Macaca fascicularis: one gene and its partners. The protein of the gene in region 3 binds, or shares a complex with, the protein of the main gene of each other region. Links are inferred from orthologs where the notes say so. Each region holds a gene or a part of one and is shown on either strand. Other genes may lie near its edges.

Region 1 (8,046 bases), on a different chromosome or scaffold from region 3:
CAAGTGCTAAACCACTATACTGTACTAAACATACCTGGATTATAGCTCCTTCCTAATAGTATCATTTCCACTGTATCCTAACATCTTGTTTCTACAAATAAACAATCTAAGGTAAAACTAGGAATACTACGATTATAAACTTCAGGAGAGTGTCCATTCTGGGAGAACAAAAGGTGGCTCTCTCCTTCTCCTCAAATAAAAAATTCTACAAATTAGAGGAAAAAAAGGAAAATGTCCCCAACAGACAAGTTGCCTCTCTAAACAGTCATATATTAGTTCGTAAGTTGAGTATCTTCTGTGCTGTATTTTTTCTTTTAGGTTTATCATTTATTTTCCATCTCAACTGCTTTTGACTTGAGCGTTTGGATTCAAAAAACTAATGACATGAATCTAAATTTTCTCTGCGTATACTAATTGCCATTTCTTTTTGCTTCCCATATTGCTTCTTGATGAATATTTAAAAGAAGGGGTTTGTGTATATAACAGAATTTGTTTCCAAATATCTTAAAATACTTATATGATGTGCTTATATCGTGACCCATTGGTTTAGGGGGAAAAAAATAGAAATAAACCTGAATATTTATATATTTTGTAGGTAATATCCTAGACAATAGTAACGCCCTTGCCTTCCAGACTCTTCTATTTTGAAAAAGCCTGCTCTATGTATGCTATAAATAATTCACTAAAATCAACTACACAAAAATTTAGCCATATTAAGCCTATGACACATTATCTTCAGTTGGTGGTACCAGGATGTTTTCTCCTGCTTGCAGTATGCCCACTGCCTCCTTTACTACTACCCTCTAAACAGATGACTTTATCCACTAAGATCAAGGTCATCCAGAGGATGTAGCCTCTCATAAACTTTGTCAACCTGAAGTCACGCATTTCATCTAGGGCCAAAGATACCAACTACTACCAGTTCCCTCTTCTCCCACTTAGCCAGCAAAAATCACATACCAGAAAGGTCTTGGGAAACATTTTCCAAACAGCAGGATATCAAATTTTCTGTTTTACTGAGCAAAAATAATTTTTTGATCACCCTTCAAGTTTTATCACATAATATAAATACAAATAACTTGGAAAAGCATCTTTCCATAAAAAGCTACACAGTAGTTCCTTGGCTAGAATCTTCACAACAAAACAAAAGACAAAACTATAAATCTCAGAGCAAAGCCATATTTTTTCTTTGAAAATGAAAAAAGTAAAATAACCCAAACAAAACTGAGTAAGAGTCACATTATACACCAGTGTTCTATAAGAAAATTCCATAACCTAGAGAATTTAAAATTTAAAAAGTCATATTAATCAGACAATTTCCTAACAGCTGCTGATTACAAAGACTATTAAAATACACACCAACTTCATTAAAATCTTCAAAGGTGATTTTCCCTGTGGCTTCTCTGTCATAATCTTTAAGAATCTTCAGTACATCAGCTTTTTTTACATCAAACCCCAAGGCTCTCATTGCCACCTTTTGGATTAAAAGGGAAAAGCAAATTATAAAGCAATCTTTACAAAAGAATTTCTAATTATTAAGTTTTTACATCTTAAGAGATAAAAACACATTAGTAAAATATAACTTTTTTGCATGTTTTACCTCTTTAAAATAGTAGTGACAGTGTAATTGTTCTTCACTACTGAAATTATGTATAAGTTTTTTCATTTATAAATTGCATTTTTATATGACAAAGTAACCAACAAGTGTTTACTATATAAAATGCACTAACTTACTGCACAGATAATTTGACTGCTATTTGTTATCACGGGAATAACAACCAAAATGAGAAAAAGGCATAGCATAAATATTAAAGTTATATGATAGAAGAGATAAAACATTAAAATAAGAATTATCATCAGCATCTCCATGATTAGTTATTAGGTTAATAATAGGGCGAAGGACCCTGAGTTTAGACAAAAAAGAGACTTTGTTACTAGTAACAAGGAAGGAAACATGTTACTGACTAGGTAAGTCTTATTTGGAAAGATTCAAGTTGTTCCTTGAAGGACAGATGAAGAGGAGCAGTAGGGCATTTGGGAAGGATGACTAGTATTAAAAGAAACACTGAAATGAACAATAGGTTTGAAGGACAACGAACAGAGCAGTTTACCTCACCTGAATTAGAAGAGTTCAGGTGAGATAAACTGCTCACCTGGATTAGAAGGTGAATTCCACGTGAATTAGAAGAGTTTGGGAGGAAGAAAGCAGTTAGCAAATGAAAAAAGTAGTTGGTGGCAAAAGTGTAGAGAACATTCAGTAGAAAGCAAAGGAATCTGAACTTTAAGTAGTATATAATGAGGAGTTATTAATAGTAAAGGCTTATGAGCAACGAACAATTTATAAGCAATGGTGAAAGATTTTTTAAACTATCTAAATTCAGTGGTAGTAGTATACAAGGTGAACTACAAGTAGACAAACCATTTAGGAAGCTCCAGGTATGAAATAAGGTCTGAAACCAGTCAATGGTTACTAATGGAAGAGACACTATAAAGGAAGAATTGATCAAATCTGGGTAACCAAAACCAAAAAACAAAAACAAAAAACAGTGGGAAAAGAGAGCTAAAGAGGACTGCAAGATTGAGAAAGCTAGACTTACAGGCCTATTAATTGTTTTTATACATTCTATACTGTCACTGCATAGTTCGTATCCCTACTTGGAATTCTAATGCTTAAAAATCCCTTAAGAAATTACAAAAATTAAAACTATCAAATAAACACTTACATTCACCTATCCATTAAGGCTATTAAAAATCTCAAAATACTATCTTTCCCACTGTGCTGAAAGTAAGTCCCACTCAACCCTAAACCCAAATCTCTCCTTATACCCTGACAAATAATAATTTACAAATCCCTCTCTACACCTTGACATTCTAGGTCTTAAAGTTGACATTTTTACCTACTAGCATGTGTCAACATCAAACAGCACTGAAGTTGTCTGTACCACAGAAAGTGGATTGAGACTATGTTACTAACAAATACAAATTATAAGATTAAAAGACAACAATCCCACAATCTGAAAACAGTATGAGTCACCAAGAAACAAAAACAAAAACAAAAAAAACAGTGAAAAGAATATGGTAATAGTTTAAATTCCAGTTTGAAATCCTTTAATTATGTCAGTGAAAAATAAGCACCTTCCCTAGGAATGTATTGTTACATTTAAAATGCTATTCGTTTTATCACGTGAAAAAGATTTTCTAAAAACTGTGTTAGGAGTTCTATTCAGTATTATTATAGAATCTAACTATGAATGCTTAAAATGCCTTCATAGTTCCAAAACCAATTTAGTTAAAATAATTACTTAGAAATGTAATGTAAAGCAACTGTCAAAATGCAAATCATTTTAACACAGAAACAAGTATTTTAAAGTATACCATTACCTTTAATTCATGATAATCTATTGCTTCATCTTTGTCTGTATCAAATAGTTCAAAAGCATCTTTAATTTCTTGTTTCTGTTCCTCAGACAGTTCTCTTCTTTTTTTCCTCTTTGTTTTGTCTACTACAAGCTCACTTCTATGAAATGGAAAGAAAAAGCCCTTAGTCCACTTTAATTCTCTTTACTAACAGAAATTAGCCAATAATTATTTTCTAAATTTCAAAAAAGAAAGTACTTTGGAGAAAGACAGGGAAACTTTCCCTTTATGAGTCAATGCCCTGTTTATTCCATAGTCTAAATTGCTATAAATATGAACTTCCCAAAACTAAAGAGTGTTACAGATTATTAAAAGAAATGAGGACCAAACTTTTCCTTTTCCCAGCTTTTTATTTATTCCCACTTTCCCTAACTTTTTATTTATTCAAGAACTGTGAATAAGCAACATTACGTTTATGTCTGAAACTCCAACCAACTCCAACCAAAAAAAAAACAAAAACACTCACATTATTCTACAAGAATGTTAAAGAAACCAAAAAATCTCCAAATGAAACCAAAATTCGTAACTGACAATCACCATATATCGGTTTACTTTTGATAGTTCTGATAATTAAGTTCATAAAATTACTACAAAAAATACAACTGGATTAACTTATATTTTGGGACTGTTGGTTCAAAATGTTTTTAGATTACACGTTTCTAACAGTTTGGCAATTTATGTGTCATTTCCTCCACTGATATTAACAAATCACCCAAAATATTAATGAGTCTAAACATATGACAAATATTAGATGTCAAAAAAGTATACAATATTTGTGCTTCATAAGTCTTATCTCACTTAAGATGTAAACTGGAGGTTAAACTTCTCATAAACTCTGGAAACGCTTAAAGAAAAAAGCAAAAATTACTTTAAAGCCAGAAATGTTTTCCGTAAGAGCTGCCCATCTAAATGTGCTCCAAGTTTTCCAATGGAGCCGCAACACTGGTATAAGAACAAGTTTTGAAACACACAATCTGGTAACACATTAACATGTCAAAACCAGTTGACTGTATTTAAAACACGTATCTAGCTGCATTTGAAAGTCGTTTTGGTCTCTGAACGCTACAAAAAAAAAAAAAAAAAGGCTAGGAAGTGACCAGTAGATGCAGTATGACAAAGCTGAGGAAGATCTTCCTTTCATGAGACCTGACTTGACACAAACTTGGGTATTCCTGGGGTCAGTCTTTTCCTTCCTGAGACTTTTAGAGGCCAAGTCCAGAACCGACCCACCCCTGACCCCATCCAAGGGTACCATGATTATCCCTTAGCAGAACATGGAACATTTTTAGAGTGTCCTAAGTATATGTATAGTTTTACGGTACAACGTCTACGTAGGGGGAGCGGGTAACAGACAGAGGGTTAGAGGTTAGAACTGAAAGGTAAAGAAATGAAAGAAACAGGAAATCCAAGAGACAGTTTGCCAATTAGTCACTAAAATGGGTTTCTAATTACACCGTAAAGCAGGACCTTGGGAGAATAGCAAAGAGTTTTTTGTTATTTCCAAAATTTATAGGTGGATGATTGCATCAGCAGCAGAGCAGCGGAGGTGGGGCCCTGGCCAGGCATACGAATTGAATGAAGGGATGTTCCGCGGCCTGATCTCTCAGAGCAACAGAGTAGAAGCCTCGCGATATTTCATTCCCTCCCCCTCGCTCGCAACTAAGCCCATTTTTTTGGTAGTCCAAAGCCCTACGCGCTGACAGAAATAACCTCCTTAGTAGAAATGCACTGGAAGTCTCGTTCCCTGCAGGGCACCAGAGCCCAGAGGGTGAGTGATCCAGACAGGCTGCCCTAGGCTCCTTTCCCGCATCCCAAACAGCATCCCCTGCCTCGCCACGGCCCCAAACGGCCTCCCTTCCACACACACCCTCCCTAGGTCCCGCTCCGGGGTGTGGAGAGCACTGCCGCCTCCTTATTACCGACCTCAGAGCTAAACTCATTATCTCTTCGGATAGAGTCGTTCCTCTCAAGAAACGATTTTAACCCCCTACCCAAAGCAGCAAGACTCCCACAACCGTTCAACAGACACGAACGACCTCAGCGGCCTCAGGGACCTCCCACAACATAGACACTTTTGAGCTGGATTGGTTGAAATGTCGCTATGGTTCTGCCCATTATGGCGGAAGCTTTACCAATTTTATTTTCATTGGGTACGCTTTACGTCAATCAAGAAAAAAAAAAAACCTCTCTCTCCCCGCCCCCCCCCCCCCCCGCCACCCACCCCGCCCCTCCATTCCTAGGGCCGCTCTCGCCCTTCGGATTGGCCTGATGCCTTTTTCCCCGAATCCTTTGCGGGTCCGGCCTCCGATCCCTGTGTGGTGGTTTGCGTGGTGGGTGCTCCTAGTCTCTCGCGTATTGTCCTGCGGTCTGTGGGCCGACGTTCGAAAACTAGATGGATAACTTGGACGGTGGGAAGGGAAGGGACACGCTGCAGGCCACCCTCCGGCTAGAAGGAGGCAGTAGTTGAGGAACAAGGTCTGCGAAGCGTGGCTGTGCTCTGTTCTAAAACTTTGGATGGCTTCAGTACCTGGGGAATGTGTTTAAAATGCAGACTTAAATGCCCCTTTCTCCATTCTAATTTCAGTAGGTATGAATCTGCGTTTGTATTCCTCACAAGCCTTCCAAGTGATTCTGAGGCAGGTGCTGTGACTATACTTGGATTATCACAGGGTTAGATTATCAGGCTATTTATGGTGATGCTGTATCTAAACCGCCCTTCCCTCTCCTTTTCCTCCTTTGAACTGTTTGAAACGGATTTGTTGGCTTCTGTCTCTTATTTTACGGTGCTGTAAATTGTTAATACACGTGAGACTGTATTCACTACCAAACCAAGTCTCCTAAAGCTCACTTGAATGTCTACTTATTCGTCTCCCTTACCAGGTTCAATTTCTTGAAGGCCGTGATTATATCTATTTAACGCTTTTCCTTGTACCTAATAAAATGTCTGGTGCATAGGTGCTCGGTAAATTGAGTGGAATCTTTTGAAAACCCACAAAATACTGAGCTAAACAGCAAATCTCATAAACGGGAATAAAATAGCCTGAGAATGGGAGTTGAAGGCGGAGAATATGTAAACATATGTTTAAGGGATGTATATAAAATTTTAGAGAAGGGAGAGAGCACAAGATAGGCTTCCTAAAGAGGTGGCATAAACGTTAGACCTACAAGGATGGGCTAAATTTGCACAAGTAAAGATAGTATGATAGAACAAGCTAAAAATTAGCTAAGGGATAGCACCCCTAAAAAACAAAAGCGGAACTTTTATTTTGTTCGTATTTTAAATTTTAAAGTACCTTTATAAATCACCTTTGAGTCTAAAAGGAAAGAGAAATTGTAATTACTAGAACATAGTGATATTGAAAAAAACTATATGTTAACATTTTAAGACACAGACCAAACTATAGGAGAACATTATTTTAAATAAGAAATAATAAAAATAGACCAGGCATTTATTTGAAGATGTTAGAAATGAAGAACAAAATTGTATAATTGAAATTAGGAAGAGGAAATTAGTAAAGTTTGAGAACAACGTTTTAAAAGGAAACTGGTCAAATTGATAAAGTGCTCATAGTCTGGTATAAAGCTGCTTTTTGGCAATACCAGTGAAATTCAAAGACAGGAAATGTAACAAGAAAAGGAATAGTGCCACTAGTAAGGTTAGTAATTTAACAAAAGGGAGGTTTAAAAATTATTAAAATATTTTATACAATTTTATACTGCCAATAAATATTAATAGAAAATGAAATAGTCACTTTTCAAGGAAAACATAACTCAAAAAAGATGGAAAACTGAATTAAGTCAATAACTACAGACAGGACTGAAAAAAAGATGCCAAATTTCTGTACCCTCAAATAAAAAGCCTCCAGCCCACTCAGATTTATGGGTAAAAATCCTAAGAGCTAAATCTTGTGCTTTAAACTCAAGTAATAGAAAATGATGGAGAGCTTCTTAGCTTAATTTTTGAAGCTGCCATAATATTTAACATCCTAAAAGAACATTTAAAGTCACTCAGTGTAAGCTTAGTGATGATGAAGGCTATACATGTTGCTCACCATTGTATCCCCAGTGCCTGACTCATATTTGATGTTCATTTGTGAATTTAAGTGCAAAATTCCTAGATGTTAGCAAAATCAGTTTGATACTGTCTTAAAGGGGCATTTCTCTATAACCAAATTGAGTTTTTTGTTGTTTTTGTTAAGTGCAAAGATAATTCAAAATATAAATCTGTGTTAAATATAGTGTTAAGGAAATCATCTCAGTGTCAAAAGGGCACTGAATAATAGGCAACACTTTTTCTACTAGGATATAAAGTGGGTTTAGAAAATACTTTTTAAAATATGATCGGCAAAATACTTAAACACCAGTGTTTCTCAAACCTCATTCCTGAAACACTAGAATTTTGTGAGATGCTTTTGGTCTCAGAGTGAGTTTTATAAGCAAATAATTTGGGCAAACAGATTTTAACATGTTTTCAATAGGGTATCCTTTTAAGAGTGACAGGGAATTTACACGGATCACTTTTATTATATTTAGTGAGAACTAGTGACAACCACTTCTTGCTTCACAGGAGTCAGACAAATCTCTAGATGGAAAACTGCTGTGCTGAAATTTGGGGTCGGATCATCTATT
Region 2 (8,099 bases), about 53 Mb from region 3:
AAAACATGGATTTAAGAGAGAATGAGGCCAGACACAGTGGCTCACGCCTGTAATCCCAGCACTTTGGGAGGCCGAGGCAGGTGGATCACTTGAGGTAAGGAGTTCGAGACCAGCCTGACCAACACGGTGAAACCCTGTCTCTACTAAAAATACAAAAAAATTACCCAGGCTGGGTAGCAAATGCCTGTAATCCCAGCTACTTGGGAGGCTGAGGCAGGAGAATTGCTTGAACCCAGGAGGCAGAGGTTGCAGTGAGCCGAGATCTTGCCATTGCACTCCAGCCTGGGCGACAAGAGCAAAACTCCATCTCAATAAATAAATAAATATATAAATAAAAATAAGAGAATGAGCAAGAAGGAATTAGAACACTCGAGTTTTGCTGTGGGTGAGAGGAGAAGAGATACGGAGTAGTAGCTGCAGAGAGTGGAGGTCGAGCGAATGTTTGTATGCTTAGTACATACAGTACTAAGTAAAAAGGGAGAAAAATTGAAAATGGAAATAATTTAATCGCTGGAATGATGTCCTTGAGCAGCTGTTCTACGGAAGTAGAAAGGTTGTCTCAGCATAAGCTCAGAGACAGTTTAATTTATAGTAACAGGAAGGGAAGGCAAAATATGTGGCTACAGATGGTGGTAGGTGGGGAGATGTCATTGTAGAGGAAGTCCTCCCTTCCTCCTTCCTTCTTTTCAGATGGGTCTCTTTCTGGCCATGCTGGAGCGCAGTGGCAGGATTGTAGCTCACTGTATCCTCCAACTCCTGGGTTCAAGAAATCTTCCTATAGCTGGGACTACAGAGGGACACCACTATGCCTGGCTAATTAAAAAAAAAAAAAAATTATTGGAGATGGGGGTGTGTTGCCCAGGCTTGTTTTGAACTCCTGGCCTCAAGCCATCCTTCCATCTCAGCCTCTGATTGCTTTAATTTTCTAAATGAAGCAGCAAGTGGAGAGTCAGGATGATGACGGAGGCAGTGGAGGTTTCGGGAGTTACGAAACACTCATTTAGAACAGTAAATGGAGAAAGCAAATACCATGTGTTTGCCAGGCAGCAAGATGGGTCCACTCAAGGTACATGGTCCTGATGGAGTTAGAGGGAAGCATGTCAGTATGGGTGTATAGTTTTCTGTCTTCTTTCTTTTTTTTTGAGATGGAGTTTAGCTGTTGTTGCCCAGGCTGGAGTGTAACCGCGCGATCTCGGCTCACTGCAACCTCCACCTCCCAGGTTCAAGCGGTTCTCCTGCCTCAGCTTCCCAAGCAGCTGGGATTACATGCACGCACCATCATGCCCCCGCTAATTTTTCTTTTTCTTTTTTTTTTTTTTTTTGGAGACTGAGTCTTGCTCTGTCACCCAGGCTGGAGTGCAGTGGCGCGATCTAGGCTCACTGCAACCTCTGCCTCCCGGGTTCAAGTGATTCTCCTGCCTCAGCCTCCCGAGTAGCTGGGATTACAGGCGTGCATTACCATGCCCGGCTAATTTTTTGTATCTCACTGTTTCACCATGTTGGCCAGGCGGGTCTGGAACTCCTTACCTCGTGATCTGCCCACCTCGGCCTCCCAGAGTGCTAGGATTACAGGCGTGAGCCACTGCGCCCGGCTAATTTTTCTGTTTTTCGTAGAGGCCGGGTTTCACCATGTTGGCCAGGCTGGTCTTGAACTCCTGACCTCAAGTGATCCTCAAGTCTTGGACTCCCAAAGTGCTGGGATTACAGGCGTGAGCCACCACACCCGACCTTGGTGTATAGTTTTCTTCAGGCACGTTCAGCTACAGATTTGAATGTAATCGAAGTTGTTTTTACTGATGAAGAGTTAGGCAATGAAGTAATTTAATGGTATTCAGGATAAGGAAGAAACACCAAAGAAGTGAGGGACAGTGAAGAGCTTGTATAACAATGGATTTCAGGTAGAATGAGGGGGCTGCACTGCCAAAGTTGGTGTCCCAGAGGGAGTGAAGTGGAAAGATAGGAAATGATGGTCGGAACCAGATAAATGAAACGGAGAATGACAGGGAATGGCTGTGGTCACTGGTAATAGAAGTGACCAACAAGCGTTGGCTATCACTAAGGAACAAAACCTTCCCTGCTGGAGATTAGCATTTTCCCCGATTTTGAACATCTACCCCCACAATATCTTCTAAACATCCACTATGGGCCCTTATTGCATTGACAGCCAAGTGCAAGATCACGGTTGGAATGAATGGCAAATTCTTTTCACGTATCCAAGTGAGTAGCACTCAGGTAACCTCAGCAGGTGGCAGCATCAAGGTTTACCACATTACGTTTCATTATACAGGAATACACGAATACAGTCTCTTGGGGGGAAAAAAGACCAAAACCAAAGGCCCTTCCCTCACTACCCCTTCCTCACCCCGCCAACCCAAGTGCCACTGAAGAGCGAAGGGAGGATCGGCAAAGATTTACAGACGGACACCCTAACCGAGGGAGAGGTGACCAAACACCCGGGATCCGGCAGAGGACGCCCAAAGGCCGGACCTCCCCGGACCTCGCCCCTCCTGGGAGACTGAGCCCCGCGTTTTGGAAACAGAAACAAACCCGGTCCCGCCCCCTGCCCTGCGGCCGCTGAGAAAAGGGCACCGCCCTCCGGAGGCGTTCCAGCCGGCCACTCGAAGATTCCAGCAGATACAGTCGGCCTCCCCTGCCCGCTTCTCTTCTGGATTCCCCGCTGCCCATCCTCATTCTCCCGGTGGAAGCCCCGCAACGAAGGACCGGAGCCCCCTTTCTGCTCCCGGGATGCTTCACCCGTCCGCAGCTCCGCCCGCCCCGCCCCCGGAAGTGACGGCGGCCGCGCGGCCCTGCCTTTGTCCCGTCGGGCATCGCGGCGACGGCGGGAAGATGGCGGCGGCGGGATCCCTGGAACGAAGCTTCGTGGAGCTAAGCGGGGCTGAGCGCGAAAGGCCGAGGCACTTTCGGGAATTCACAGTCTGCAGCATTGGTACGGAAGTGGCCAGGGAGGGCGCGATCCGATCTGTCCCCTCGGGCTCCTCTCATGGGTCCTAGGGTCTCTGACTGCTGGGTTCATCCTCCTGAGTCCACATGCCTCCAGCCCCGGGATCAGAGATTCCTTGATGTCCGACGTTTTCCTCTTTTCTTTGTATGGGTTGTCAGTCTGTCACCCTCTGCTTTATCAGGTCCCTTAGTCCCTGTCATTTCTCAGAAGACGCGTGTGCAGGCTGACCACGTTCATTTTGCAGGGACCGCAAATGCCGTGGCTGGCGCCGTAAAATACAGTGAGAGCGCGGGAGGCTTTTACTATGTGGAGAGTGGCAAGTTGTTCTCCGTAACCAGAAACAGGTTCATTCATTGGTAAGTGCTGTGGTTCGCCAAACTCCCCTGGAAGGTAGGGTTTGGTGTGTAAATTTTAGTTGCTGTTCCCAAAGTGCTATTCTAGAAGCGGTAATCGACACTTAGGGAAAGAGAAAGTTTTTTTTTTTCAGTTCGTATCAGAGTCGGGAAAACTGAGACACAGTTCTAGAAGAGTTTACCCTCCCCCCCCACCAATACACACACACACACCAAGCAACACCAAAAGCAGAGGGAATGTAGCTTAGGGGTATAAAGCCCATAAGACTAGTTTTAAACATGAACCCATTATGTTTTTATAGTGCTTTACAGCTTCCTTCATTGAACAAATATGTTCGAGCTTCAATATGTCAGGCATTGTGCTAGGTACCAGGACGAAATGAACAAAACTGCCATCTTCATCATGCAAGACGTTGTAGCAATGTCAGAATAGTTGTGGACTCACTTTTCATGGGGAAATTTTGTGGAGGAAAACTTGCCCTAGAGGAAAAATACAGGGGTTACGAGAGGCTAATGAGAGGACCAAATGTTATTAGTGGGGCAGGAAAAGGCTTTCACAGTTACCCTGAGGTCTAAAGGACACGAGGTTAGCCAGGTATGGGGAGTGGACAGAGAGGAGTCCAGCAAGCAGGATCACCATATGCAAAGGTCACAAAGTGGAAAGAATGTGGCAGGTTTGGAACTGACCAAAGATCTGTGTGGCTTAAGTGCAGTGGGTAAAACAGAAAGTAATGTGAGATACTGAGGCTGGAGAGGTAGGCAGGACTCGGACCATGAGGGACCCTTAGGCCATTTTTAAGGATTTTTGGATTTTATCCTAAGTACATTGAGTAATAATGGAATAGGTTTTTAAAGAGTTACTAACATCAAAATTGCATTTTTGGATGGGAACAGTTAACACTGGGGATTCCAAAAGGAGCGGGGGAGCAGAGGTTGGAAAACCTATCAGTTACTGTGTTCACAACTTGGGCGGCAGGATCATTAGAAGCCCAAACCTCATGTAGATAGGAATATATACACAATATACTCATGTAACAAAGCTGCACATGTACCCCTGAATCTAAATTTTTTAAAATGTATTTTTAGAAGATCTCAGTCTACTTTGTGGAAAGTGGATTTGGATTAGATGGGTATAATGCAAAAAAAAGTTTGCTTTTATGATGGCCCAAGTAAGGGTTGCTGGTGGTTCAATTGTGGGAATGAATAGAAATAGAAAAGTAGATGGATTCAAGATACCTTTGGAAGATAGATTCACTAGGACTTGGTGGTGGATTGAATATGGGGTAAGGGATGGTAAAAGAAAAGGAGAGAACAAGGACAGCTCCCTGGTGTCTCATGTGACTAACCAGATGTGAGTGGGGAGGGGTTGCCATTTACAGAGATCCATAGAAGATGGATTTTGGAAAGATATGAATAATTCTGTTGGACATAGTAAATTTGAAGTACCTGGGGAGCAGCCCTTTGGAAATGTCAAGTAGGCATTGAAATTTACAGGTCTAAGGCTCAAAAGAGAGACTTTATGTTAGAGATACAAATTTCATTTAGTTAAATATTTTGGCTGGGCACAGTGGCTCACACCTGTAATCCCAGCACTTTGGGGGGCTGAGGTGGGAGGATCTCTTGAGGCCAGGAGTTCAAGACCCCATTTCTACAATTTTTTTTCTTTTTTCTTTCTGTTTTTTTTTCTTTTCTTTTTGAGAGACAGTCTGGTGGCTCCATTGTCCAGGCTGGAGTGCAGTGGTGCAATCATGGCTCACTGCAGTCTCCGCCTCCTGGGTTCAAGTGACCCTCCCACCTCAGCCTCCCAAGTAGCTGCAATTACAGGTATGCGCCACCATGCCCAGCTGATTTTTCTATTTGTTTTTGTAGAGATGGGGTTTTGCCTGGTTGCCCAGGCTGGTCTTGGACTGCCGAACTCAAGCAGTGCCCCATTCTCGGCCTCCCAACTTGCTGGGATTACAGGCGGAGCCACCATGGCCGGCCTGATTTTTAAAAATTAGCCAGGCGGGGTGGCATGTGCCTTTCATCTTAACCACTCAGGAGGCTGAGGCGGGAGGATCTGATCATGCCACTGCACTCCAGCTTGGGAAACAGGGTAAGACCCCATCTCTTTTATAAAAACAGGAAGAAATAAAGGAAATTTGCTTCCCTAATATATTTCAGTCCATTTTTAGGGAATAGGGATATAGCAGGGAACAAAACAAAGTTCCTACTCTCATGGAGGAAAATAGGCAACAACAACAATAACTAAAAAAACAAAAAACCCAAGTACATGTAGTTTTGTTACAGGAAAAGGGTGCCGATCCAGGCCCCAAGGGAGGGTTCTCAGATCTCACACAAGAAAGAATACAGGGCAAGTCCGCAGTGCAAAGTGAAAGCAAGTTTATTAAGAAAGTAAAGGAGGGCCGGGCGCGGTGGCTCAAGCCTGTAATCCCAGCACTTTGGGAGGCCGAGACGGGCGGATCACGAGGTCAGGAGATCGAGACCATCCTGGCTAACACGGTGAAACCCCGTCTCTACTAAAAAATACAAAAAACTAGCCGGGCGAGGTGGCTGGCGCCTGTAGTGCCAGCTACTCGGGAGGCTGAGGCAGGAGAATAGCGTAAACCCGGGAGGCGGAGCTTGCAGTGAGCTAAGATCCGGCCACTGCACTCCAGTCTGGGCGACAGAGCGAGACTCCGTCTCAAAAAAAAAAAAAAAAAAAAAAAAAGAAAGAAAGTAAAGGAGGCAGGTGTGGTGGCTCACGCCTGTAATCCCAGTACTTTAGGAGGCCGAGGCAGGTGGATCACCTGAGGTCAGGAGTTTGAGAGGTCAGGAGTTTGAGACCAGCCTGACCAACATGGTGAAACCCTGTCTCTACTAAAAATACAAAATTAGCTGGGCGTGGTGGCACATGCCTGTAATCCCAGCTAATTGGGAGGCTGAGGCAGGAGAATAGCTTGAACCAAGGAGGTGGAGGGTGCAGTGAGCTGAGATTGCTCCATTGCACTCCAGCCTGGGCAACAAGAACGAAACTCCATCTCAAAAAAAAAGTAAATAAATAAAAGAATGGCTACTCCATAGACACAGTAGCCCCAAGGGCTGCTGGTTGCCCATTTTTATGGTTATTTCTTGAAGATATACTAAACAGGGATGGATTATTCATGCCTCTACTTTTTAAACCATACAGGGTAACTTCCTGATGTTGCCATGGCATTTGTAAACTGTCATGGCCTTGGTGGGAGTGTAGCAGTGAGGGCAACCATAGGTCACCCTTGTCACCATTTTGGTTTTGATGGGTTTTGGCTTGCTCCTTTATTGCATCCCGTTTTATCAGCAAGATCTTTATGACCTGTATTTTGTGCCGACCTCCTAATCTCATCCTGTGACTTAGAATGCCTTAACTGTCTGGGAATGCATCCCAGTAGGTTTCAGTCTCATGTTACCCAACTCCTATTCAAGATGGAGCTGTTCAGGTTCACTTGCCTCTGACAGTTTGTCAGTTGATAAATGGAATAGGGAAAGGGGAACAGCGTAAGAGGGAATGGAATACCTGTGGCAGTTAATGTTTTATGTAGGGTGGTTGGGCAAAAGCCAGGGGTAAGTTGACATTTGAGCAGAAGAAAGGATACCTGGGGAATGAGTATTTCAGGTGGAGCCCTCCAAGAAAAAGGAATAGTAAGTGCAAAGAACCCTGAAGTAGGAGCTTGTTGTGTTCAAAGAGTGGAAAGGAGCCAGGAGTCTGCGGCTGAGTGAACGGAGGGTAGAATAATAAGAAAGAGATAGCTTAAGGCCAGATCAGGGCTTTGTTGGTTATTTTAAGCTTCAGCTTTTGCTCTGAGTAAGATGAGAAGAAGCTGTGGAAGATTTAAGTAGAGGATGACATGATCTAAGATCTGAGTTTCTAAAGGATTGCTTTGACTGCCGTCTTGAGAATAGAGTGTGGTGGGGGAAAGGGTGGGTGTGGGGAGACCAGTTAGGAGGCTGGTGCCACAATTCAGACATGGTGGCTTAGATCAGGGTGGTAGTGACAGAGGCAGTGAGAAATGTTCTGATCGTGGATATGTTTTCAAGGTGGATTTGTTAGAATTACTATTGCATTGGATGGGGGGTATACAGAAAGAAAAGAGTCAGAGGTGAACCCTAGATTTTTGGCTTGAGCAATTGGAAGTTAGGGAGATGTCATTAATTGAGATGGAAAAAAGCATAGGTGAAGCAGGTACTTTTGTTTGTTTTCTTCAGGTTCAGTGAGTGCAGGAGTTCTGTTTTGGACAGTTGTAATCTGAAATGCCTGTTAGATATCCAAGTGAGTGCTGAGATAGTAGTCAGGAGTTGAGTGAAGTTGGGCTGAAGATACAGATTGTGAAATTGTTGGCATTAGATGGTGCGTAAAGCTGTTCTACTGAATGAGATCACCTAGAAAGTGAGAATAAATTAGGATTTTTCACCTTCTGCACTATTTTTTTTTTTTTTTTTTTTTTGAGACAGAGTCTTGCTGTCACCCAGGCTGGAGTGCTGTGGCCGGATCTCAGCTCACTGCAAGCTCCGCCTCCTGGGTTCCCGCCATTCTCCTGCCTCAGCCTCCCGAGTAGCTGGGACTACAGGCGCCCGCCACCTCGCCCGGCTAGTTTTTTGTATTTTTTAGTAGAGACGGGGTTTCACCGTGTTAGCCAGGATGGTCTCGATCTCCTGACCTTGTGATCCGCCCGTCTCGGCCTCCCAAAGTGCTGGGATTACAGGCTTGAGCCACCGCGCCCGGCCACCTTCTGCACTATTATTGTCAGCTAAGTCTTCATTGAAGGGGG
Region 3 (7,023 bases):
AGTATCTCTGAGGTATGCCTGCTTTTAATTCTGAAGTCCAGCCAACATTATTTCTCCTTCCTTTATGTGTTCCTGCCATGTCTTCTGTACTTTTGGAAACTATGCACTTGTGCAGACGTTGTGCTTAATATTTTGTTTCTTCAGATGCCATCATTAATGAGAACTATGACTACCTGAAGGGGTTCTTGGAAGACCTGGCGCCTCCAGAGCGCAGCAGCCTCATTCAGGATTGGGAAACATCTGGGCTTGTTTACCTGGACTATATTAGAGTAATTGAAATGCTCCACCATATACAGCAGGTACCTGAGATCCTCAAACTGCTGTCTGATTTTCCTTTTCTCAGGCCCTTAAATCTTTAGAGACCTCACAAGGCTTTAGTATACACTTGAGAACACATTGACAGAGATAGCACTGTCAAAGCAGGCATCTTGCTGAGGCTCATTTGATATAACCGTTTGAGAGCTGTTTCGAAACTTAAAAACACTTCTTTATGTTGATTACCAACTTGTATGTTCAATAGACATTCCTGAGACTTGTCCATAGACAGTCCCTTCCCCTTGTTCAGCTCTAGTTTGAGTGAGAAGCCCAAAGATGAAAGATAAAGTAAGAATGGAGATTTGGTGAGGATTGCTGTTTCACACATCATTTGGCATGTTTTAAAATTGCAAATACTGACCGGGCGCGGTGGCTCAAGCCTGTAATCCCAGCACTTTGGGAGGCCAAGACGGGCAGATCACGAGGTCAGGAGATTGAGACCATCCTGGCTAACACAGTGAAACCCCGTCTCTACTAAAAAATACAAAAAAACTAGCCGGGCGAGGTGGCGGGCACCTGTAGTCCCAGCTACTCAGGAGGCTGAAGCAGGAGAATGGCGTGGCTTCCAAATTCGATTTGTGGCTTCCAAATTCACTGGCTATGTAATCTTGAACAAGTTAACTACCTCCTTTGTCTCCATCTGAATGAGAGAGGTGAGTGGGGTAGACAGTAGTACAAATTACAGCTCATATCTGACAGATTTTCACAAAGATTAAACCAAATCTACATAAAGTGTTTAACGTAGTACCTTTCATGTACTAAATGCTTTTTTTTTTTTTTTTTTTTTTGAGGCAGAGTTTTTTTTTTGTTTTTTTTTTTTGAGACGGAGTCTCACTTTGCTGCCCAGGCTGGAATGCAGTGGCCGGGTCTCAGCTCACTGCAAGCTCCGCCTCCCGGGTTCACGCCATTCTCCTGCCTCAGCCTCCCGAGTAGCTGGGACTACAGGCGCCTGCCACCTCGCCCGGCTAGTTTTTTGTATTTTTTTTTTAGTAGAGACGGGCTTTCACCGTGTCAGCCAGGATGGTCTCGATCTCCTGACCTTGTGATCCGCCCGTCTCGGCCTCCCAAAGTGCTGGGATTACAGGCTTGAGCCACCGCGCCCGGCTGAGGCAGAGTTTTGCTCTGTCACCCAGGCTGGAGGGCAGTGGCACAATCTCAGCTCACTGCATCGTCCATCTCCCAGCTTCAAACAATTCTGCCTCAGCCTCCCCAGTAGCTGGGATTACAGGCTACAGGCGTGTGCCACCATGCCCAGCCTTTTTTTTTTTTTTTTTTTTAGTAGAGACAGGGTTTCACCATGTTGGCCAGTCTGGTCTCAAACTCCTGACCTTAGCCTCTACTAAATGCTTAATAATTGTTACCTATTATTATCCTCATCAAAGTTCCAACTCCTAGTACAGCGCCTGACACATAATAGGCATAATTCAATGTTTGCTGTACTTTTCATATGAATCAAGAGCATCATTTCTAAATAATCACTTGAAGAAACCACTTTCTCATTGAATATTGAGTAATTCACACAACTATTATGGAGAACTCACTGTGTGCCAAGCACTGTAGTGGGTTTGGGGAATATAAAAGTAAACAGTATGTGTTCTGCCCTTACCAAAATAATGATTTCGTGGGGGAGATATATACAAGTAAAGCAGCAGTTACTGTAGCTTCATAAGTATAGGGGTTAAGCAAAGAGAACTATCAATGTGCCAGCACATAGCTGGATGTGGTGGTGCGTGACTGTAATCCTAGCACTTTGGGAGGCTGAGGCAGGAGGGTTGCTTGAGACCAGCCTGAGCAACATAGCGAGACCCCCCCTTTAAAAAAAAAAAAGCCTGTGTTACATAAAACCTCTCTAGTATTGGTTTGTTCTGCTTTTCCCCCTTACCCCACATGTCACCATGTAAATCTCCTTTGAATTCTCACCTTTGGGAGTTTTAGCTGTCTTCTCTTTGCCTGGAAAGCTGAGCTCTCTCCTTGTAATTCAGGTCTCGACTTAAATATGACCTCCTTGAAGAAGCCTCTCTTGGACCTCCAGTCTCAAGTAGCTATCCAGTTTCTCTCTGCAACATCCACCTGTTTAAATTATCTACATGGCTTGTGATTTTTCAGGATGTATTACTGTTTTATGTTTTCTTATTTAGTTTCTGTCAGTTTCATGAGAGCAAATAATTTGTCTTGCTCTTGATCCTCCTGCTGCCTGCACCCAGCTTTTTTGGTGTTTTAGAAAAGGCTAGGCCAGGCGCGGTGGCTCAAGCCTGTAATCCCAGCACTTTGGGAGGCCGAGACGGGCGGATCACGAGGTCAGGAGATCGAGACCATCCTGGCTAACACAGTGAAACCCCGTCTCTACTAAAAATACAAAAACTTAGCCGGGCGAGGTGGCAGGCGCCTGTAGTCCCAGCTACTTGGGAGGCTGAGGCAGGAGAATGGCGTGAACCCGGGAGGCAGAGCTTGCAGTGAGCTGAGATCCCGCCACTGCACTCCAGCCTGGGTGACAGAGCGAGACTCCGTCTCAAAAAAAAAAAAAAAAAAAGAAAAGGCTATAAACTTGGAGTCAGGGGACCTAAATTAAATGTTGGTTCAGGCTGCATTTTTTACTTCCTGTGTGCTCTTAAGAAGTCATACCATCTCTCTGAACCCAGTTTATCTTGATTTTTGGTGCTGTATTATTAAAGCTTGCTGTATTATTAAAGCTTGCTGTATCGTTCGGGATCTCAAGACTTTCCTAGTCCAAGGCTGTGTACACTATGTTACCTTCCTCTTTATTACTGCATAATTAGTGCCTTGTCCTCCACTAGATGGTGGTGGCTTGACCCTGTGTCATCTTCTTGGATTTTCCCCTCCCTCACCTCACTGTTGTTTCAAGGTTTTGTATAGAGTCTATAGGTGGTGTTGAGTGATAGGAACTCCCCTTGGATTAATTGACTTCTCTGCTTCTTTGTAGGTGGATTGCTCAGGTTATGACCTGGAGCAGTTACACATCAAAGTGACTTCACTGTGCAGTCGCATAGAGCAGATTCAGTGTTACAATGCTAAAGATCGCCTAGCTCAGTCAGGTAAGCCTCTAATCTCCTCACTTTTTCTGCCTTCTTGCTTCCTGTTTTTATCTTACACCCCACCCTCAGTGCCTGCCACCGTTCTCTAGACCCATGCTCAGTGCTTAACTCTAGTTTTTCTCTCTAGACATGGCCAAACGTGTAGCCAACCTGCTGCGGGTGGTGCTGAGTCTGCATCATGCTCCTGATAGAACCTCCGACTCAACACCAGACCCTCAGCGAGTCCCTTTGCGCCTCTTGGCTCCCCACATTGGCCGGCTCCCCATGCCTGAGGACTATGCCATGGACGAACTGCGCAGCCTTACCCAGTCCTATCTGCGAGAACTCGCTGTTGGGAGCCTGTGAGCCCCAGACTCTTTGCATCACACTCACATGCCCGTTCACACTCACCACACAGAGGTTCCCTGCCTTGTTTGGATTGGCACTGTTTGCCATTCTCTGGGTTGGCTATGGCATCTGCCCTCCTTCCCTGCTGCCACAAGCAGCATCCTCCAGTTGTTCAGGGCTTTTCTTAATACTAAACATAGCATAAGGGCTTCTGGAACCCAGAAGAGGAGACAATTCTCTTTTTACCATCCTCAAGACCAGTGTTTTTCCTTTTAATAAATGGTCAATAAAGCTCCTTTGGCAGAATCCCCCAAAGAACCAGGGAATCCTTTTTCACCCCTAGCCATTCTGGATCTTGTGACCCTCCATGCCAACCAGCTACCCTACTCCTACCCTGGCCCTTTTATGCTAGGACTCCTTAGGAGGAGTGAGACAGGTAGTAATGGATCCTTAACAGGTGAACTATCCACAGAAGGAAGAGGGATCCGTCTCTTAAGTAATTGGTTAGTTAACACTGAATTTTGGAGGCAGAGGAGGGTTGGCCTGAGTTAGGAAACAGAATGGGATCTTTCTGACACACTTAGGGCAGAAGTGAATGCCTGCCATGGAGGGATTGATCTTCAGAGCTTCTTTTGTTCCTGCCTTTAGTGTTCCATGAACACCATACCTTTGCTACTACTATGTGCAGGAGCCCTTGGTCATATGTGACATGTCTATGGGAAGCTCCCAGAATTTGGTTTGGTCCCTGGTTTTCAGTCATCTTGCTGAGAGTCTGTCTGGATTTGCCTGAAGAGTTTGGATTAAAAATGGCAGGTTGGGTAACCCTCCCTGTTCATCCCATGTTAGCTCTAAAGCATTTTCCACCCTCCATCATCCCTTCCAGAAGCAAACCATGACTGAGGCAGGCATGGAGTTGGGCGTTAGGGGCAGGCAGAGGGCCTTTGCTACACTGCTGACAGCTATAGGGAGCCCCAGGTAATGGCATGAGATAGCTGGTGTTAGGGCTGTCTCAGGCAATATGGCCACACCTGGGTCTTTATGCATGAAGATTATGTAAAGGTTTTTATTAAAAAATATATATATGTATAAATAAATGATCTAGATATTTTCCTCTTTTTCTGAAGTTACTTTCTTAAAAAATAAATAAATAAAATGTTTATAGCATTCCTGGTATTGGCTTTCCCTTTGTATTTTTGAGCCTTCTTGCCCTGAGGATCTTTATGATGGCCTTGTTTGATTTAGCCTGTTTTTGAATTTGCCTTCTAAATGGAGACAGGCCTTGGGTTAAAGAGAGAACTATTTGGTGCTAAACTGAGAGATAGATTAGCCCAAAGGCTAGATTTATAAGGGGAGATTTAGGGGCAAGGGAGTTGATTATTGATTAATACTGATTGCTGTACATATATTTATACATATAGATTTCCAGGTCTCAAATTGCCCAATAGAATATACCATTCAAAGCCTCCTCGCTCTTCTACTGTAGTGGTTTTGTTTTTAAACCTTGAGTGACGCTTCACCTTTCTAAGTCGGATTCCCTTTTGTAAAGGGGATAATGATCCCTGATGTTACTTCACACAGGGCTGTTTTCAAGAGGAATCAATTGAGTAGCATGAGTACTATTCCAGATCTTATTTTGATTTGTCAAGCTGAAGATATGAGCAAATACCCATTAAGATTAGAACAAAGACTTCTGAGACTTTGAGGAATTCAGGGATGAGAAAGCATAGTGGGTCAGCTCTGTGGCTGAAACTTCCATTTAACTTAGACACCTCAGAAGAAGGGTTACTCAGCTGGAATCCCCTCCACTACTGACTCAATATGTGATCCTGAGTGGGTCACAGAACTTAGTTGGACTTTCCGACCTGGTTTCCTTACCAGAGGAATGTTTCAAAAAGTGATTATGCTGTAGAAATGGTTAGCTCTTAGCAGTGTTAGGAATTGTGGGCCAGGAGTGTTCGCTGACACCTGTAATCCACTTTGGGAGACCAAGGTGGGAGGATTGCTTGAGGCCAGGAGTTCAAGACCACACCAGGTAACATGACAAGACTCTCTCTAAAATAGTTGGGCATGGTGGTGTGTGTGCATAGTCCCAGCTACTCAAGAGGCTATGGCAAGAGGATCGCATGAGCCCAGGAGTTGAAGGCTGCAGCGAGCCATGATTGTGCCACTGCACTCCAGCCTGGGCAACAGAGCAAGAAAAAAAGGTTCTAAATCAAAGGTTTATCATAGAAGCCATGTTGCATAAAAGAGAATATCAACTTCCAGTTCAAGATAAGGGTGATGAACAATGAACAATCTCCTTTTTTTTTTTTTTTTTTGAGACGGAGTCTCGATCTGTCCTCCAGGCTGGAGTGCAGTGTCGCAATCTTGGCTCACTGCAAGCTCCACCTCCCGGGTTCACGCCATTCTCCTGCCTCAGCCTCCCGAGTAGCGAGGACCACAGGTGCCCGCCACCACGCCCGGCTAATTTTTTTTTTTTTTTTTTTTTTTTGTATTTTTAGTAGAGACGGGGTTTCTCTATGTTAGCCAGGATGATCTCGATCTCCTGACCTCGTGATCCGTCCACCTCGGCCTCCCAAAGTGCTGGGATTACAGACGTGAGCCACTGCACCCGGCCTGAACAATCTTAATCTTTTTTTTTTTTTTTTTTTTTTTTTTTTTTTTGAGACGGAGTCTCGCTCTGTCGCCCAGGCTGGAGTGCAGTGGCTGGATCTCAGCTCACTGCAAGCTCCGCCTCCCGGGTTCACGCCATTCTCCTGCCTCAGCCTCCCGAGTAACTGGGACTACAGGCGCCCGCCACCTCGCCCGGCTAGTTTTTTGTATTTTTTAGTAGAGACGGGGTTTCACCGGGTTAGCCAGGATGGTCTCGATCTCCTGACCTCGTGATCCGCCCATCTCGGCCTCCCAAAGTGCTGGGATTACAGGCTTGAGCCACCGTGCCTGGCCTAACAATCTTAATCTTCTACATCCCCAAATCCCGTTGAAATAGTAAAAAAAAGTTTTAATTTCAAAAAAAGTTCTCAAAAACATAAAACAGGAACCAGTTACCTCAACATTCGATAGATCTGTGGAGTCTACAACATTCAAATTAACTTATTTTCTCAACAGAACCCTGAAATAATTCCAAAATCAAAGTTAACAGAGGTCTGGAGAATTAAATTTTGGAATAGTTGAGCAAAGGCCTGCAGAGTATCTGCTCTTTTTAGATGTTTCATCTTTAGCTCAGTTTTGTTAATTTGTAATTCCAGAAAATTGTTCCAGATTTTTTTGTTATTCAAATAACCAGTCCTTAGACTTATTAATCAATTTTACTGGAGTTGTGTATGGT

The links. Proteins that work in one complex are often made in the same cells at the same time.
Region 1: NUP98 (region 3) and CETN3 share a complex: the UniProt entries of both Homo sapiens proteins name them as parts of the nuclear pore complex. The link is inferred for Macaca fascicularis from reciprocal best matches to the Homo sapiens genes NUP98 and CETN3.
Region 2: NUP98 (region 3) and NUP160 share a complex: the UniProt entries of both Homo sapiens proteins name them as parts of the nuclear pore complex. The link is inferred for Macaca fascicularis from reciprocal best matches to the Homo sapiens genes NUP98 and NUP160.

What each region holds. Positions count from the first base shown.
Region 1 is NC_088380.1:94,402,931-94,410,976, forward strand, and holds the start of CETN3 (centrin-3), read right to left. Parts: upstream 5,484-8,046; 5' UTR 5,358-5,483; coding exon 5,341-5,357; intron 3,518-5,340; coding exon 3,382-3,517; intron 1,475-3,381; coding exon 1,360-1,474; intron 1-1,359. UniProt on the Homo sapiens protein: Plays a fundamental role in microtubule-organizing center structure and function. As a component of the TREX-2 complex, involved in the export of mRNAs to the cytoplasm through the nuclear pores.
Region 2 is NC_088388.1:17,982,247-17,990,345, forward strand, and holds the start of NUP160 (nuclear pore complex protein Nup160), read left to right. Parts: upstream 1-2,616; 5' UTR 2,617-2,745; coding exon 2,746-2,947; intron 2,948-3,206; coding exon 3,207-3,318; intron 3,319-8,099. UniProt on the Homo sapiens protein: Functions as a component of the nuclear pore complex (NPC). Involved in poly(A)+ RNA transport.
Region 3 is NC_088388.1:70,593,874-70,600,896, forward strand, and holds the end of NUP98 (nuclear pore complex protein Nup98-Nup96), read left to right. Parts: intron 1-144; coding exon 145-299; intron 300-3,256; coding exon 3,257-3,368; intron 3,369-3,495; coding exon 3,496-3,713; 3' UTR 3,714-4,859; downstream 4,860-7,023. UniProt on the Homo sapiens protein: Plays a role in the nuclear pore complex (NPC) assembly and/or maintenance. NUP98 and NUP96 are involved in the bidirectional transport across the NPC. May anchor NUP153 and TPR to the NPC.